Linked DNA regions of Diceros bicornis minor. The protein of the gene in region 1 interacts with the protein of each later gene in a pairwise test. Links are inferred from orthologs where the notes say so. Each region holds a gene or a part of one and is shown in the gene's direction. Other genes may lie near its edges.

The links. The genes of interacting proteins can lie anywhere in the genome.
Region 2: the proteins of HMG20A (region 1) and HPCAL1 interact in binary tests that used the Homo sapiens proteins (3 or more experiments, as listed by UniProt). The two-hybrid records come from large-scale screens. The link is inferred for Diceros bicornis minor from reciprocal best matches to the Homo sapiens genes HMG20A and HPCAL1.

Annotation. Positions count from the first base shown.
Region 1 is NC_080744.1:68,859,916-68,867,520, reverse strand, and holds the start of HMG20A (high mobility group protein 20A), read left to right. Parts: upstream 1-4,604; 5' UTR 4,605-4,869; intron 4,870-7,605. UniProt on the Homo sapiens protein: Plays a role in neuronal differentiation as chromatin-associated protein. Acts as inhibitor of HMG20B. Overcomes the repressive effects of the neuronal silencer REST and induces the activation of neuronal-specific genes.
Region 2 is NC_080751.1:69,874,486-69,881,610, reverse strand, and holds the start of HPCAL1 (hippocalcin-like protein 1), read left to right. Parts: upstream 1-4,106; 5' UTR 4,107-4,377; intron 4,378-7,125. UniProt on the Homo sapiens protein: May be involved in the calcium-dependent regulation of rhodopsin phosphorylation.

The DNA of each region.
Region 1 (7,605 bases):
GCATTACAATGTAGCTACCTGCTCTAGCTGAAGTTACAAAAGACATCTTAATCACCAAGTCTTAGACTTCCTTCAGTCCTTATCTTACTTGGCCTTTCATCCAGGATACAGTGTTGACCACTCCTAGTCCTTGAAATAGTCTCCTCCCTCGGCTTCCGTGACAAATCTCTCATAGTTTCCTTTTTTCATCTTTGGTCTGTCTGGCACAGATGGTTGGTTGGCTTCTCTTCAGTTGCCTGCTCACTCAGGAGCTCACAACAGAAATGTGGGACTAATCCTAAATCTTCAATCTTGCTCAACTCCATGATCTGATTACTTACCCTGTTGATAAAACTTCCTAAATCTCTCATACATCCACCCCTCTTCTACATCCCTCATCATTTCTCAACTGGAATGGCTTCTTAACTGGTCAGCTTCCAGTTTTGCCCTTCTCTAATCCAGCCTTCACTTCACTGCCAGCATGATAGATCTAAAACACAAACCTGATTCTATCACAGTATAATTTTTTTCCCCCACTAAACCCTCACAGCCTCAGGATAAAGTTAAAGCTCCTTAGCTTGGTTCATAAGGCATTCAGTGATCTGGCTTCTTACGACTTCATCAGCTCCTGTTTTAAAAATGTGCTGTCTACCTGTGGCTACTGAGTGCTTGACTGTGGTTAGTGCAAACTGAGATGTGTTGTAAGTGTAAAATACATACCAGATTCTGAAGACTTAGTATGAAAAACGGAACATCAAATATCTGAATAATACACGTTTTAATATTGATTACATGTTGAAATGATATCATTTTGTCTATATCAGGTAAAATAAATTATTAAAATTAATTTCACTTTTTACTTTTTTTAACGTGGTTACCAGAAAATTTTAAAATATATATGTGACAAATTTGTGGCTCATATTCTAATTTTATAGGACAGCACTGTCTAAAATGTCCTTTCCCTCTCTCCGAACCTAGTTAACTCCTATGTATTTTTGAAGGTTAGCTCAGATAACCCACTAAGATGCATTTCAGGACACTTCCCCACCCCAAGACCTCAAGTCTTAGTCAACTACCCCTCCTCTGTGCTTCCCATCCATAGGAATCTGCTTACACCTCTGTCTATATCACACCACATTGTAATTATTGATTATCAGCTATCTTCTCCTCCTAAACTGGACAATCCTTGCAAAAAGGACTATCATTCTACATACACTCAGGGCCTACCACCATGCCTACCACTTAAAAGGCAATCAAAAAATTTGTCAAACAAAGATGAATTACCTATTCCTGGCCTGAAAGTTATTTAGAATTTCTAGTTCTCCAGGAAAAACAAACCAGCAGTGAGGGAGCCTAGACTTTTCCAGGAGCTCTAGCAACAAAAGGACTAGGGTGCTGGAGTGGGAATTAGAGAGAACAGCAATGAGGAAATAAAGCTCATGACACACACTTGCCTCTTACAGTGAAAAATAGGGATTTGCAGCAGTGATATGGAGCCTTGAACTCACACTTGGCATGCCAGGGGCCACAGTCTGGTTCCTAAATTACTTAAACAACTCATCCAACAAAAGAGTATGATTTGGCAGGTTTCAACACAAACAGCTAGAGCCCAGCACCTGTTCCACTTAAACAGCACATCATTACAGTTAAAAACAACAACAAATCTCTCTCATGAAGCAAATGCTAATCTCATGATGCTTCACCATGGAGCAATTTAGAAGAGTTATTATATGAAATGTGCCAAAACAAGAATTTATGGCTGATGCTTATTTGGCAAATATGGTTGGCACTGCTAGATGTTGAAAAACATGTATGCAAATAGGCAAATAAAAGTTTTTAAGCTCTCAGACTTAAATATTTACATTACCATAAATTTACAAAGATAAATGTTTATATGAGTACACGTATAATGCATTCCAGGAACACATTTTTTAATGTGATTGTCAGGAACAGTTATGAAGTGGCATTATTTTTTTATGGGCCTCAGGATAGACTCCTAAAAATGAATTCTGACAGAATGTTAATGGGGTACGAACATGATTGAGGAAGTTTCTCTATATTAACACTGGGTAAAATGAATAGTCATAGTATCACAAGAGTTCAAAGCGATCTTATCTTTTCCTTTCGCCAAAATACTTTTCTTCCCATCCTGGAACCCAGCCAAACATAAATGTCAGCCCCTAAATGGGGGGTAAGGAGTAGAGAGGAGGACCACACATCAAAAAGTCTTAAAGAAAATAACGACATTTTTTCCCACATAATATACTCATGTTAGAGTCTCCAAAATAAAGACATGATAAAATATTTGCCCCTCTTCCTCTCCGACAGCGACGGAAAGATGTTTGTTTTTTCACATAGTTTGTGAGTTGGTCATAGCCAAAACTCACTAGCAATGGTATGAATTCTGCTTCCATTGTTAACTGTTAATCTCCAGGCTGAGACTGTAACTCCCATCTTTGAAGCCAAGAAAATGTACCATACCTGCCATTATATAGTTTACTAAACGAGTGACCCAAGAGAAGAAACGCCAGGCACTTCAGAAAGTAATTAAGGTACTCAGTGAATTGAGCTATCTAGAAATGCTCTGCGATTACAGGAGAAGCCATCATGAAGCAAGTATCCAAGATTGTTCAAAGAAAGTTTTACCCCTGAGGATAATTCATGTTTTTCACTTTCACACTTCGGAGAGCAATATGGGTTCTCCGACTACACACATTACTACATCACTTCATTTATCAGGAAAAAAAGACATTGTGGCTTAACAAAAATCAGTAGGTAGGCCCCAAAACAGCATCCTCAAGGCAATCCCAATTCAGGTGAAAAGCAGCTGACATACATCATCTAGTGACCTAAAAATAGCCTTTTATGTAAATCTCCAACTATTTAATTCAACGTATAATCTTACCACATTTAAGAGAGGCAGAAAAAAAAAGTATTAGGTTTTCTATAGCAAGGCCAATAAAGATGAAATCATAGTTTTCCTTTAACTCGTCACTATCCCCTCAACGCCAGCCTTCCAATAACTCCATTCCACAGCTCTCAAATTCCTAAACTTAGATCTTTAAAAAAAACAACGGATTGCAAGCAAGTAACATTTAAAGGTGGGAGGGCTCCTCTTTCCTGTTGCTCTCAGCAGTCTTTAACGCAGTCAAAGGACGAAAAATGAAATCAAGCTCTCAGACGGATGGTGCAAGGGACGCGGGGAGAGGGGGGTAGAGAAGGGGGTTCAGACGGCAAGTCCTCGTCGCGGGAGGTAAGAAAAGTTGCAAGAACAGATGAGGCAAAGGGCAAAGGAGAAACAAACCGACCAAACCAACCTCTCAAAATCCCCAAACCACCGAGCAAACCCGCACTTAGGGGGCTCACAAGCCGCAGCGCGAAGGGAGCAGGCAAAGAGCCACCGGGTTTCGTCCTGGCGCTGCTGGCGAGGCTGCGCCGGATCCTCCCGGGTTTGGACCCGGGTGTCCGTGTAGACTTAGCAGCGAGAGGCGCCCTTCCTGCACCAGCCTCCCCGCGTCCAGCTCCTCCAGGCTTCACTTTCCCCAAGCAGCCTCCCAGCCGCGCCCGGGGGCGTCCCTCGCCGCCAGGTCCCAACTTTCCCTCCTCTGGGGGGCGCCGAGCTACCGGGGCCGCCGCCGCCGCCGAGGGAGGGGGCGGGAGCCGGGGCGGCGGGGCGCGCGGCGCCGGCGGGACCGGGGGCGGCGGGCGCGGGGGTGGCCGGAGCCGGAGAGCACGCGCCGGGCCGGACGCACCGGCCATCCGAGTCCCCGCGGCGGCGCCACCCAGACCCCGCGCCGCCCCGCCCGGATTCCCCCGGGTCAGCGCCCTCACCCAGCGGCGACCCTGGTCCCACAAGCTGGCGCGAGAGAAGAGGGAACGCAGGGGACGCGGGCAGCCCTGCCCCGGTTACCTGAGGGGCGCACACGCCGCCGCGGGGACCACCATCACCGGCCGTCCCGTCCCCTTCCTGGTGACCGCGGCCGCCGCCGCCGAGCAACTGACACTAACAACAACTAACTAACTACTCGCCGCCGCCGAGTCCACCGCGCGCTCCCGGGCGCCCGCCGCCCGCCCAGCCCACCAGCCTGCCCGCCTCCTCCCAGCCCCGCGCGCCACCCCTCCGCGCGCGCACTCGCCGCCGCGATCCTTGAGGAGCGAGCACGCGCGCGCACACGGGTCCTCGGCCCTCCCCCTGGTCTCGCCTCAGCCGCGCAGGAGGTGTCACTGGGAGGCCCCTCCTCTCGCGTTCCTACCTCCAGAGAAAGAGATCCAGAGGGCGCCTGATTGGCTCAGGAGGGCGTGGCCAAAGGAAGAGGGCGGGACGACCAGGACCGCGGCGTGAAGGGAAATTTAGGTTCAATTAAGTTTCAGAAGAAAAGGGGAACGAAGTATTGGCCTATATAGTGCCGGAGCCCCCCAGGTCAGCCTGCCATCATATACAAAATATGTGTTTTCAAAGACTCTAGTATATATTAATCACCAATTTAAGTCCCAATACCTGCTTCAGGCCTTAGCAATTAAAAAAACTACATCTCCCAGAAACCTCTGCGAAAATAAGTCTCACCTTGCGTAATCACGTAGTCCGCCGCATTTGAACAAAATAATCCCTTCATTTTTCTGAAGGTATCGGGAGCAATACTTTATTTTTCTCTTCACTGGAACAACTTTAAATGTTACTGCGATAAGAGAAGTTGCCTATGGGAAGGTGGTTAAGCGGTTAGGTAAAGGGAAAGAAAGGACATCAAAATAAAGTACTGCGGAGGAATTTTTGTCATGCTGTGAGACGACGGAGGGAGAAGAGTGAAGGCGATTGAGAGGGGCTCAGGGAATTGTCCTGTGTGAGGGGCTTTCTTTAGGCCCCGGGCCCTTGCCTGTCCCTATCGTCAGCAGGTCAGTAAGCAAGGCGAGCTTGCGGGTGGCCACAGTGGAGGTGCCCTTCACCCCTTGAAGATCATCCCTCTTTTGCCGTTGTTATTGGTTTGTCTCGGTTTGAGGCCGACTGAATGGGGGCGCCTCACTTCCGTTTGGGGGAGGGGAGGAAGGTCCTCCTGGGGGAGGGGGAAACATAACTCACTTCCTGTGGGGGTAGGGTGATGGTTTGGGGGGTCCAAACCACTTCCTGTGCCGGCGGGGGCTTCATAAGGTGATGCTTGTTGCCGTTTGCATAGAAGGTATCTTAAAGCCTTGGGATTGTGTTTTATGTGAAAAGTTAGGTTATTCCACCAAGTTGTGATAATCACCAGCCTCCAGAATTTATGTGAGTTTTGTGTAAGATGGAAAATTTCCTCCTCAACAAAATTTTCTTAACGCATTCTTCAAAGAATTCAAAACCCGTTGTTAAAATTCTCCACTCAGGTCTGCAAGATAGACGTGCTTTCTTGTGTGACTCATGAATTGCCCACCCCTGCTCCCCTACTCATGTTCAACCTTGACCTGGTGAGATACAGTAGTGTTGTCTGCCTTGACATGCCACAGTAACTCTGCAGCTGCTCTTTTAAGGAGGTGGTTTATTACAGACTCAATATTTTACGTAAATTACGAGGCATTTTCACCTTACCAGAGTGAAAGTATCATACTGAGGTATTCAAACACTTGGTGTTACGTTAACTGATATGATTGTTATCTTAAATTCTTAGACCTTGATTGGTCTACAGGTTCAGGCTACAGGTTCAGCCCTGTGCCTGAAAACAACTCAGCCTTAAAAAATTTTACATGTAACTTACATGTAGCATTTGTGAAAGTTATACTTTAGTACATTTTCCCTCTTTGTAATTAAATTCAGCATCGATTGAAAAATGGTGTCTCTTTGTGGTTTTAAAGCATGGTGGCAGGATCAGGAGATTTAGCTCAGATTTTAAGTAGGGGAAAAAATTGGCTCACAAAGGACGAAAGATGAGTAAGAAAGAACTTTCTATATTTCCTATATTCTCAGTGTTTTATAAGAAACTACATGTAAAGTGGTAATAAACACTCAACTTTGATTCCTTGGCTTCTGTTTTCAAGTACCACAATACTTGGGTGTGTGTGTCTGTACTGAAGGAATCAGTCTATTTGGAGCTTACAAAATCTCAACAACTTTAGTAATTTTAGAATATCAAGTGAACTGAAATGTCTTTCAAGAATTCTAAAAGAATAGGGCCTGTATATTTTTTCCTTTGGGATTGTTACCTCATCTATCCTCAGAATTTGCAATTATTTTAATTCTAGTTCTTTTAAAAAGCTATTTGGTTTAGAGTTTATTGGAAACTGTTTTAAACCAAATGTTAGAGTAAGGGAAAAAATATATGTTTTAACCTTCTGTACACACACAAAAAAAAGATCTGAGACCCTAAAATCAATGAATTATCTTTTTAAAGACTACAAAATTTCTGCAGTAGCTGAAAAGGCAGAACAAAATAATGTCTGTTGTTATTATAAGGCTGGGGACATGTGGACTGCCTCAAGCAAGTATTAATTAATTGATTAGAGAGAAAATGTTCACTGTCTTCTATATTGATGTAATATAGAAGGAAATATGATATCATCCTGACAAATTAAACTGTTAAACTATAGTATTAGGAATTATTGCAGTAAGTAAAGATTGTGGAGCTAAATGGAAAAGATAGTTAAAATATTGATTAAGATGCAGTAGTGTCGCCTTTTGGAAACTGTCTTTGGAAAGCAAAGGAGTTTATTAAATTGGTTTTTATGCTATTCCATGCAAGAAATGCAGTATAATAGAAATAAGAAAAATTGCTGCAGCGGAAAGACTTGAGCAGCTTGAAGAACTGTCTCTTCAGAAGAAAGCAATATATAAGGCACATATCTGAAAGAAGATGTGTGATAAGTGGCAGTTATTCATTAGTTTCATCAAAGAAGAAATATTAGAAAAGCTTGTGAAAAATGAAGGGAAATCCATGGAACCTGCTTTTATTCTCTTTACAAGTGTTCCTGTAGAGAGGCTTGCTGTCTTCCAAAGACTTTTTTTCCCCTTAATGCTCTTTGCTGCAGTTTTCTTTGCATGTTATAATAGAAACATACTATCAAAATCAGAGAAATAAAGACTTTTTTGTAAGTGTACTCTTGTTACGTCTTTGAATTAATGAATTTGAGATTTTCATTCCATTATTTGCCTTCTATAATAAAGAATTTGTCCATTTTTTAGAGCATTTAGATTAGATAACCATTTTCTTTTCCAAAAGCAGTCATTGTATACACTGCTAACAACAGTTTGAAATATTAAAACAGTGGGTCAAAATTCTGGATTCCATCTCACTGAAATGTGATTAACCACAGAGTGCTAGATAGCATATATTATGCAAAGTGTCTTTTCATTCTTTTGTCTCCCTTTCTTTGTAAAATCATGCTACTGTTTTACAGCTATTGCCTTTTTGTTTGTTGTTTTGGTAGTTGGTGGTTTTTGCCATGAGGTTGAGTGTTAAAGAGAATATCCTAACAACTTGAATGGTTTTTCTTTTTTTTTTTGGCTGAGGAAGATTCTCCCTGAGCTAACATCCATTGCCAATCCTCCTCTTTTTTTGCTTTAGGAAGATTAGCCCTGAGCTATTATCTGTGCCAGTCTTCCTCTGTTTTGTATGTGGTACACCGCCACAGCATGGCTGGTGAGTGGAGTAGGTCTGCGCCTGG
Region 2 (7,125 bases), on another chromosome or scaffold:
TCTACCAGAGGAGCATCACCCACTCTATTCCCGGCAGCCACACTTCTCCCCTCTGTAATTACAAATGAAACCAAGTGACAGAATCAAAAGAGGACCTGGAAATAAGTTGGCCTCCACTTCCCCAAATAGTCGGGACCGGGCTTTGAGCTAAAACCACATTTATTTTAAAGAACTTCCCTAGTGGGGTAAACATTCAAGTTCATCCAAGTACTACAAATGATTTTTTAAAATAATATTTTTTCCAAAGCCCGTGTGGGCCCAGCTCAGTGATATTGAGTCTGGCTTTCATACCTGGCTGTCACTGATTCTAATGTGTGACCTTGGACATTCCATTTCTCCAAGAGTAGATGTCCTCATCTGTAAAATGTGGGAATAATCTCAAGAATGTTGGAGACAGCATATGTAAAAGTGCCTTGAAAACAGTAACGTCATAAAACTAAGTCAGATATTATGAAGAATAATCAGAGTTATTTCTGTCCTTAAGTGTTCACAGTCATCATATGGAAGACAAATTGTATATACAGCATGACACCTGTCATTTGTTGAACTGTTCCCCGATAAAGATGTTGAAGTCCTAACTCCTGGTACCTGTGAATACGACCTTATTTGGAATTGGGTCTTTGCAGATTGTCAAGTTAAGATGAGGTTATGAGGGTGGACTCTAATCCAATATGACTGGTGTCCTTATAAAAAGGGGAAATTTGGACACAGAGACAGACGCACAGAGAGGGAAGATGATGTGAAGACACAAGGAGAAAATGGCCATCTACGAGCCAAGAAATCCCCAGGGCTACAGAAGCTAGGAGAGGGCCTGAAACAGTCTCCCTCACAGCCTTCAGAAGGAACACCCTGCTGACACTTTAATCTCTGACTTCCAGCCTCCAGAACTCTGAGACAATACATGTCTGTCGTTTAAGCCACTCAGTTTGTGGTACTCTGTTACAGCAGCCCCAGGAAAGTACAGGCAGTCCCCAACTTACCATGATTCTTTGACTTGACAATTTTTCAACTATGCAATGGTTTGAAAGTGATATTCACTCAGTAGAAATCGTACCTTGAATTTTTTTTTTAATAATTATTTATTTATTTTTTTCCCCCCAAAGCCCCAGTAGATAGTTGTATGTCATAGCTGTACATCCTTCCAGCTGCTGTACGTGGGATGCGGCCCCAGCATGGCCGGAGATGCGGTGCGTCAGCGCGCGCCCGGGATCCGAACCCCGGCCGCCAGCAGCGGAGCGCACGCACTTAACCGCTAAGCCACGGGGCCGGCCCTCGTACTTTGAATTTTGAATGTTGATCTTTTCCCAGGCTGGTGATATGCGGTGTGATCCTCTCTCATGATGCTGGGCAGCGGCAGTGAACTGCAGCTCCCAGTCAGCCCCGTGGTCACGAGGTTGAACAACCGATACACTTACGATGATTCTGCACCACACGACAATTCTGTTTTTCACTTTCAGTACAGTGTTCAATAAATTACATGAGATATTCAACACTTTATTATAAAATAGTCTTTGTGTTAGATGATTTTGCCCAACTGTGGGCTAAGGTTAAGTGTTCTGAGCATGTTTAAGGTCAGCCAGGCTAAGCTACGATGTTCAGCAGGTTAGATGTATTAAATGCATTTTCAACTTATGATATTTTCAACTTACGATATTTTCAATTTACAATGGATTTATGGGGATGTAACCTCGTCGTAAGTCGAGGAAGATCTGTAATATAACACCCTACATCCCGAATTTGCTTTCTTAGTTGCTTTAGTTTATTAAATCCAAAAGTACTTGCCGAATAACTCCTCACGCTCTCCCTCCACTAAGCTCCGCGAGGGGTATTGAAGGAGCAGTAGACACAAAGGGAAGAGACCAGGTTGTATCTCTCCTGAGGGAGACACGCACCTTCTTAGACGTTCAGAGAAGGGAGTACACGTGAGCCGAGAGGGTGGAGGGCTAGGGGGGAGCTGAACTGAGCTGGAGGAACAGGTAGGTTTCAGATCTACAGGGAGGAGGAGTCATGCTGGGTGAGGTCCACGTGAGAGGCGGGTCCACGAACTGCCTCAGTATTCTTTTTCGATTTCTTGAGCTTTCTCATCCTCTCCCCTGCCTCCCGCCTGTGTCCACCAATAGCTCAGGCCTTGACAACCATGATGAGGGTGCTTTGTGCGGACATCTGTGGCCCTGTGACTGAGCTTGGGAGAAGAGTGCTCTGATTCTGTGGGAGAGACCCTGCGATGCACTCACAAAAGCGACTGTTTCCTCCTGGGCACACAGGAAGACGTAATTCCCAGACCCCTTGCCTCCAGGTGGGACCTTGCCACTAATTCTGGGCAGTGAATGCAGGTGGATGTAATGTGTGCCTCTTCCAGGCCTGGCTCCTAAAGACCCGGGGACCCCAGGCTAGTGTTCTCTCCTCTCTTGTTGCTGGCTGGAAGTGGAGGGGCCAGTGGAGGCCTCGGAAGCACTGAAGGAGGGTAGGAGAATTTCTAGATGGAACAGGCTGGGGTTCCTGAATGCCTGTGTGACTCCTCCCCATGGCCTCCCATTTGCAGTGAACTGCATGCAACCCAAGTGAAAAGTGGGGTCGGATGTGTGACCATAGCAGAACATAACCTACCCCCACTAATCCAGTCTCTGCAGTCACCAGCTAATGCGCCTGGGCTGGGCATCTGACTGAGGGTTCCCTAGCTGTAACCCTACCCTCTGTGTGGATGTGCTGCAGGAAGCCTGCGCAATGACCTTGGCCACTGGTCTCTGCTGAGAAGGAAAGATGGCGCCCCTAGGTACCCAAGCTGGCTCTGTATGACATCACCACAGCCTGGTACTGCTGATGCTCACAGTCATTATTGCATTTAATCCTCACAGCAGGGCCACCAGGAGACTAACTCCCTCTGGGTTTGCTTTTGCCATTTGCCTGCAGAGGGAGGGGTCTGGGCTCAGATCACCTTGCCTGCCAGCCCCCAGCCAACTCCCCCCAGGGTCGTGCACTCCCATTTCTTCCCTAGCCTTCAGTGGAGTGGGAGTTCACTCACGGAGTTTTTGTGGAGGAGGATTTGAGCTTTCCCCTAGAGACGCTGGAAAGACAGTTTGTCTCAGCCTAACACTATCGCCCAGCTCCACATTTATGGCTGTTTCTGTGGTTACCTTTCTTTGGGGATGTTTAGGGTGGGTGGTGGTGGTAGTGGTGGGGGTGTGTATATATTGTGTATCTAGGGCCCAGATTTTCAGGAGCTGCCAAATCGAAGGGCCTGGGAAGCACAGTCCCTGATTCCTGCCCTCTGATGCAAGTGCCATCGCAGAGGGATGGAGGAAGTCCGCAGGGAGCACTTCTGCCTCTCCCTGAGACCCAGGCCACCTGACCCGGGACTGAGATGTCAACCAGCGAGTAGAGACTGAAGACCCACAGCACGTTAGGGAGGGAAGGGCCTGAAGAAGCCTGCTCCTCCTTCTGTCCATTTTAGAGGTGGGGAAACCGAGACCGAGGGAGTCTAAGGGACTTGTCCAAATGGCCTAGAGTTAGCAAAGGCAGCCAGAACTGGAACTCGGGTCTCCCTCCTCCCGACCCCGGGCTCCTTCCCTGAACCAGGGCGGGAAGGTTGTTGGTATCTGCTCACCGGACAGGGGGTGGGAGTGCCAGAGGGGCCAAGCAGGCGGCCCGGGGAGACTCTGGCCTCTTCCCCTTCTGGGCCACCCGGGCCGCACTTCCTGCAGAGGACAGGAGGCGGGGGAGCGGGACCCCGGGCACCGCCTCCGGGCCTCTCCCACACCCGCGGGCCAGAGGCCAAGGGTTAGGGAGGCGGAACCAGTGCTCGGCTCCGCTCTGCCCCGAAATCCGCGCGGGGCGGGATCGGGTCAGCGCTTCGACTGGGCCGAGACTGCATAAAGAGGAGCGAGGCGCCAGCGTGGAAAGGGCAGACGCCCGGCGCCAACAGGCCAGCAGGGGGCGTGGCCAGGGACGGAGGCTTGACCGCAGCGGCGCTCGGCGGGCGGGGCTAAGCCTGGGGGCGTGGTCGAGGCGGGGGCGGTCCGCAGGGGCCCCGAGTGCCCGCCCCGGCCGCGCGCCCCGCCCCCGGCCCCCGCCTCCGGGTCCCGCCCTCGCGTCCCTTCCTTCTCCCGGCTGGCAGGCGGGCCGCGGCGGCTGCGGGCGGCGGACGGACCGGCTCCTCCTCGTTGCTCCTTCCCTCGCTGCCGGCTTCCTTTTGTCTTTCTGGGGGGCGATGAGCGCAGGGCCGGCGTGGCGGCTGCGGACGCACGGAGGCCCGCGCTCCTAGCCACCCTTTCTGGCCTTGGCGCGCTCGTCCCGGGCAGCGGCCCGCGCCCGCCTCAGCGCCGGCGGCGCCGAACTTGAGCTCGGGAAGCCGGCGGACCGCGTCCTGCGCCGGAGCAGGTAGGGAAGGGGCGGGCTGCGGGGCTACAGGGAGTGCGGGCGTGTGCACTGGGGTGCGCTGCGATCAGGCTCTCTGCGTGTGTGTGTGTGTGTGTGTGCGCGCGCGCGCGCGCGCGTGTGTTGGGGGGTGCCTGTGTTTCTCTGCGCGGTGGAGTTGTGGGTGACCGAGGACGGTGGTGTGTCCCTGGAATGGCGCGTCCTCGTAGGCATCCGTGTGTGCAGTTGGGTGTGCACATTTTGGGCTGCGTTTGTGGAATTGGGTGTTGGGGCGCAGTTGCTGGTGGGGACCGGTGCGGGGCAGGTGTCGTGTGTGAGCGGCTGTGCGTGGGGCGCGGGCGGCGGGGTGGGCGTGGGCGGTCCAGTCCTACGCGCGGAGCCTCCGGTCCCCGCCGGCCAGCGCAGTGCGGAGCTCCAGAGCCCCGGGGGACAGCTGGGATCCGAGGGGGCTGGCGCGAGCTTCGGGAGCAGGGGGCCAGGTCCGCGAGGCCCACGTGGGTCGCCTGTGTGCCCTGGCCAGGGCAGGGGACCCGCGCGGCGGCCATCCACTCCCTCCTTCCCATGCCGAGGAGCGATGGACAGAGCCCAGCTCCGGAGTTAGGAGCCCTGGCATCGCCGTGACCCGCACTGCGACCTGGGGCAGACACACCATCTTCCCGGGTTGCAGTTTGCTTCTGTATCGAATGGGGACAGTTCCTCCCTCGCGGTCTGTCGTGACAGTTAAAATGAGAACGCACTCCAGATAGCTCTTGGCCAGTGCCTGGCACGTAGTAGTGCTACGTTAATTAATTAGCGTCTCTCTTTTTAAAAAATCTTTGTTTTCTTTATCGTGGGTGGTGATCTTATAATCCCCCCACTCCGCGCGTGGTTTGTGCCTTTCTCAGGGCCCTAACTTAACGGCTAAGCACCGAGATTCGAGAAAGTTTAGGCTGCCGGGTGAGCCGCTTCCTCGCCGCGCGTCCCCGGCGGCGCCGCCTCGGGTGTGTAGGAGCGCGCAGCGCCGGGCGCCGGCCATTCTCCAGCCGCGAAGGCTCCGGCGCCCGAGCGGGTCCCTCTCCTGGCCGAAGGCAGTGGCTGCGGGAGTCGGGATCCCTTTTGTTCAACAAGTGCGAGACCCCGGGGCGTGCAGCTCGAGGAATCCGGGAGCCAAGGTGTGAAAGTGGCGCTCGCCGCAGAGACGGATCTCGGGCTCCCAGGGCATCCCCCACCCCGGGCCTGGTCACGCTGAAGGCCACCCCTTTTCCTCTGGGCCAACACGGATTCCTCCTAGAGGAGGGTGTTTGTCAGGACGGCGAGACCTGCCTTGGCCATCGGCATTGGACACCCTCCAACTCTCCCCGCCCATCCCCCCCTTAGATCAGCCTTATGCAGGAGGCTGAGATCCGCGTGGGACCCTTTATTCTAGTCCCCCACCGTAATTTTTAAAATATTTAGTTTGAAACCTAGTACTCATAACATTGAACCGCAGTGAATGCACACAGCTCTAACCACGATTCATACTCAGGAGTCCTGCCAGCCACGCCGCAGTGCTTGCTCACACCCAGCTGGGCCAGCTGGCTTGGGCTGCCCTGCCGCCTCCTGCCAGAGCCAGTGATTCCTTCTCTCTGTGTCTGTGGTTTGTTCCTCTCAGGACCCTTTCCCGTCGGAAAAACAAATAACCTTTCACCAAGGGAGCAGCCAGCCTCATGGTGCAGGAGGATCTCAAAATGGAGCGCTGGCTGGGAATGGGCAGGGGCATGGGGACATGGGCAGGCTGCATGTGGGTATGAGACGCACTCCAAGTATCAGGTGCATCCGTTGCTGTTTTCAGGGAAACTGGAATCCTTTGCAGGCTTTTATGACACAGGAGTAGAAACCTCTGGCTTGGTCCTTCAGTGTGTCTTCTGCCAGGACCGGAGCCCTGAGATATCAGCGGTGATGGCAGGCGGGGGCAGCTGAAAAAGCTAATTTTTCATCCTGATTTGGTGTCAGGGGCACACTTAGAAGGCAACCTGTTTTTTCTGTTTCGTAAAATGATTTTGTGTCCTAGAGGAGAAAAGGGCTTTTGATCTGAATCCTACTCTCTTCCCCATAATCAGATTCGGTAATAGTATTAAAAAAGAAAATCAGTCTGGCTTTCTCAGCTCAGTAGACAGACCAAAAGCTAGTGGTTTTTTTTCCCCCTAGTTAAAACCGGCCCTTTGTCTCAAGCAAACCAATGTTTTGGCCCTAGATCTATTTCTGTTTCACTTTTGAAAGTGCCTGTAATTACTGAGCTCTTGAGGTTTTATTGAATAATGTGCCGGAGGGAAGGCCCAGGGCCCCTGCCTGTCCCTTGCAGGGGACGTGGGATGTGGTACCTCGTTCTAGCCTTGCCTGCTTCCTTTGAGTTCCACTGTTACGCTTTCTGTAAGGTGGAAAATAGATGTCAATGGGCAATAATAATTTGGGAGACTTGGCACTGGGTCTCAGATGCCCGGAAGGTCACTCGACTTGTGGAGAAACAAGACTAAGTCAAAACCCGGAAAGAACAGAGATTTGCCCAATCTCTAGCCAAGGATCCATTCATTTCCAACAAGCCCTCCTAGAGAGACACTCTGAGAGAAATAAAAGAGCTTGGACAAATTCCTTCAGAATTTATCCTAATGCCCCTTTCTGGCCACGGGGCTGTGCAGAATTAGAAATACAAGCTATTGAAGGACAAGGAGTGGACTCCCCTTGGCGCACACTCCCCAGCCGGGGCCTCGTACTCACCGAGCTCCATTTCTCCCT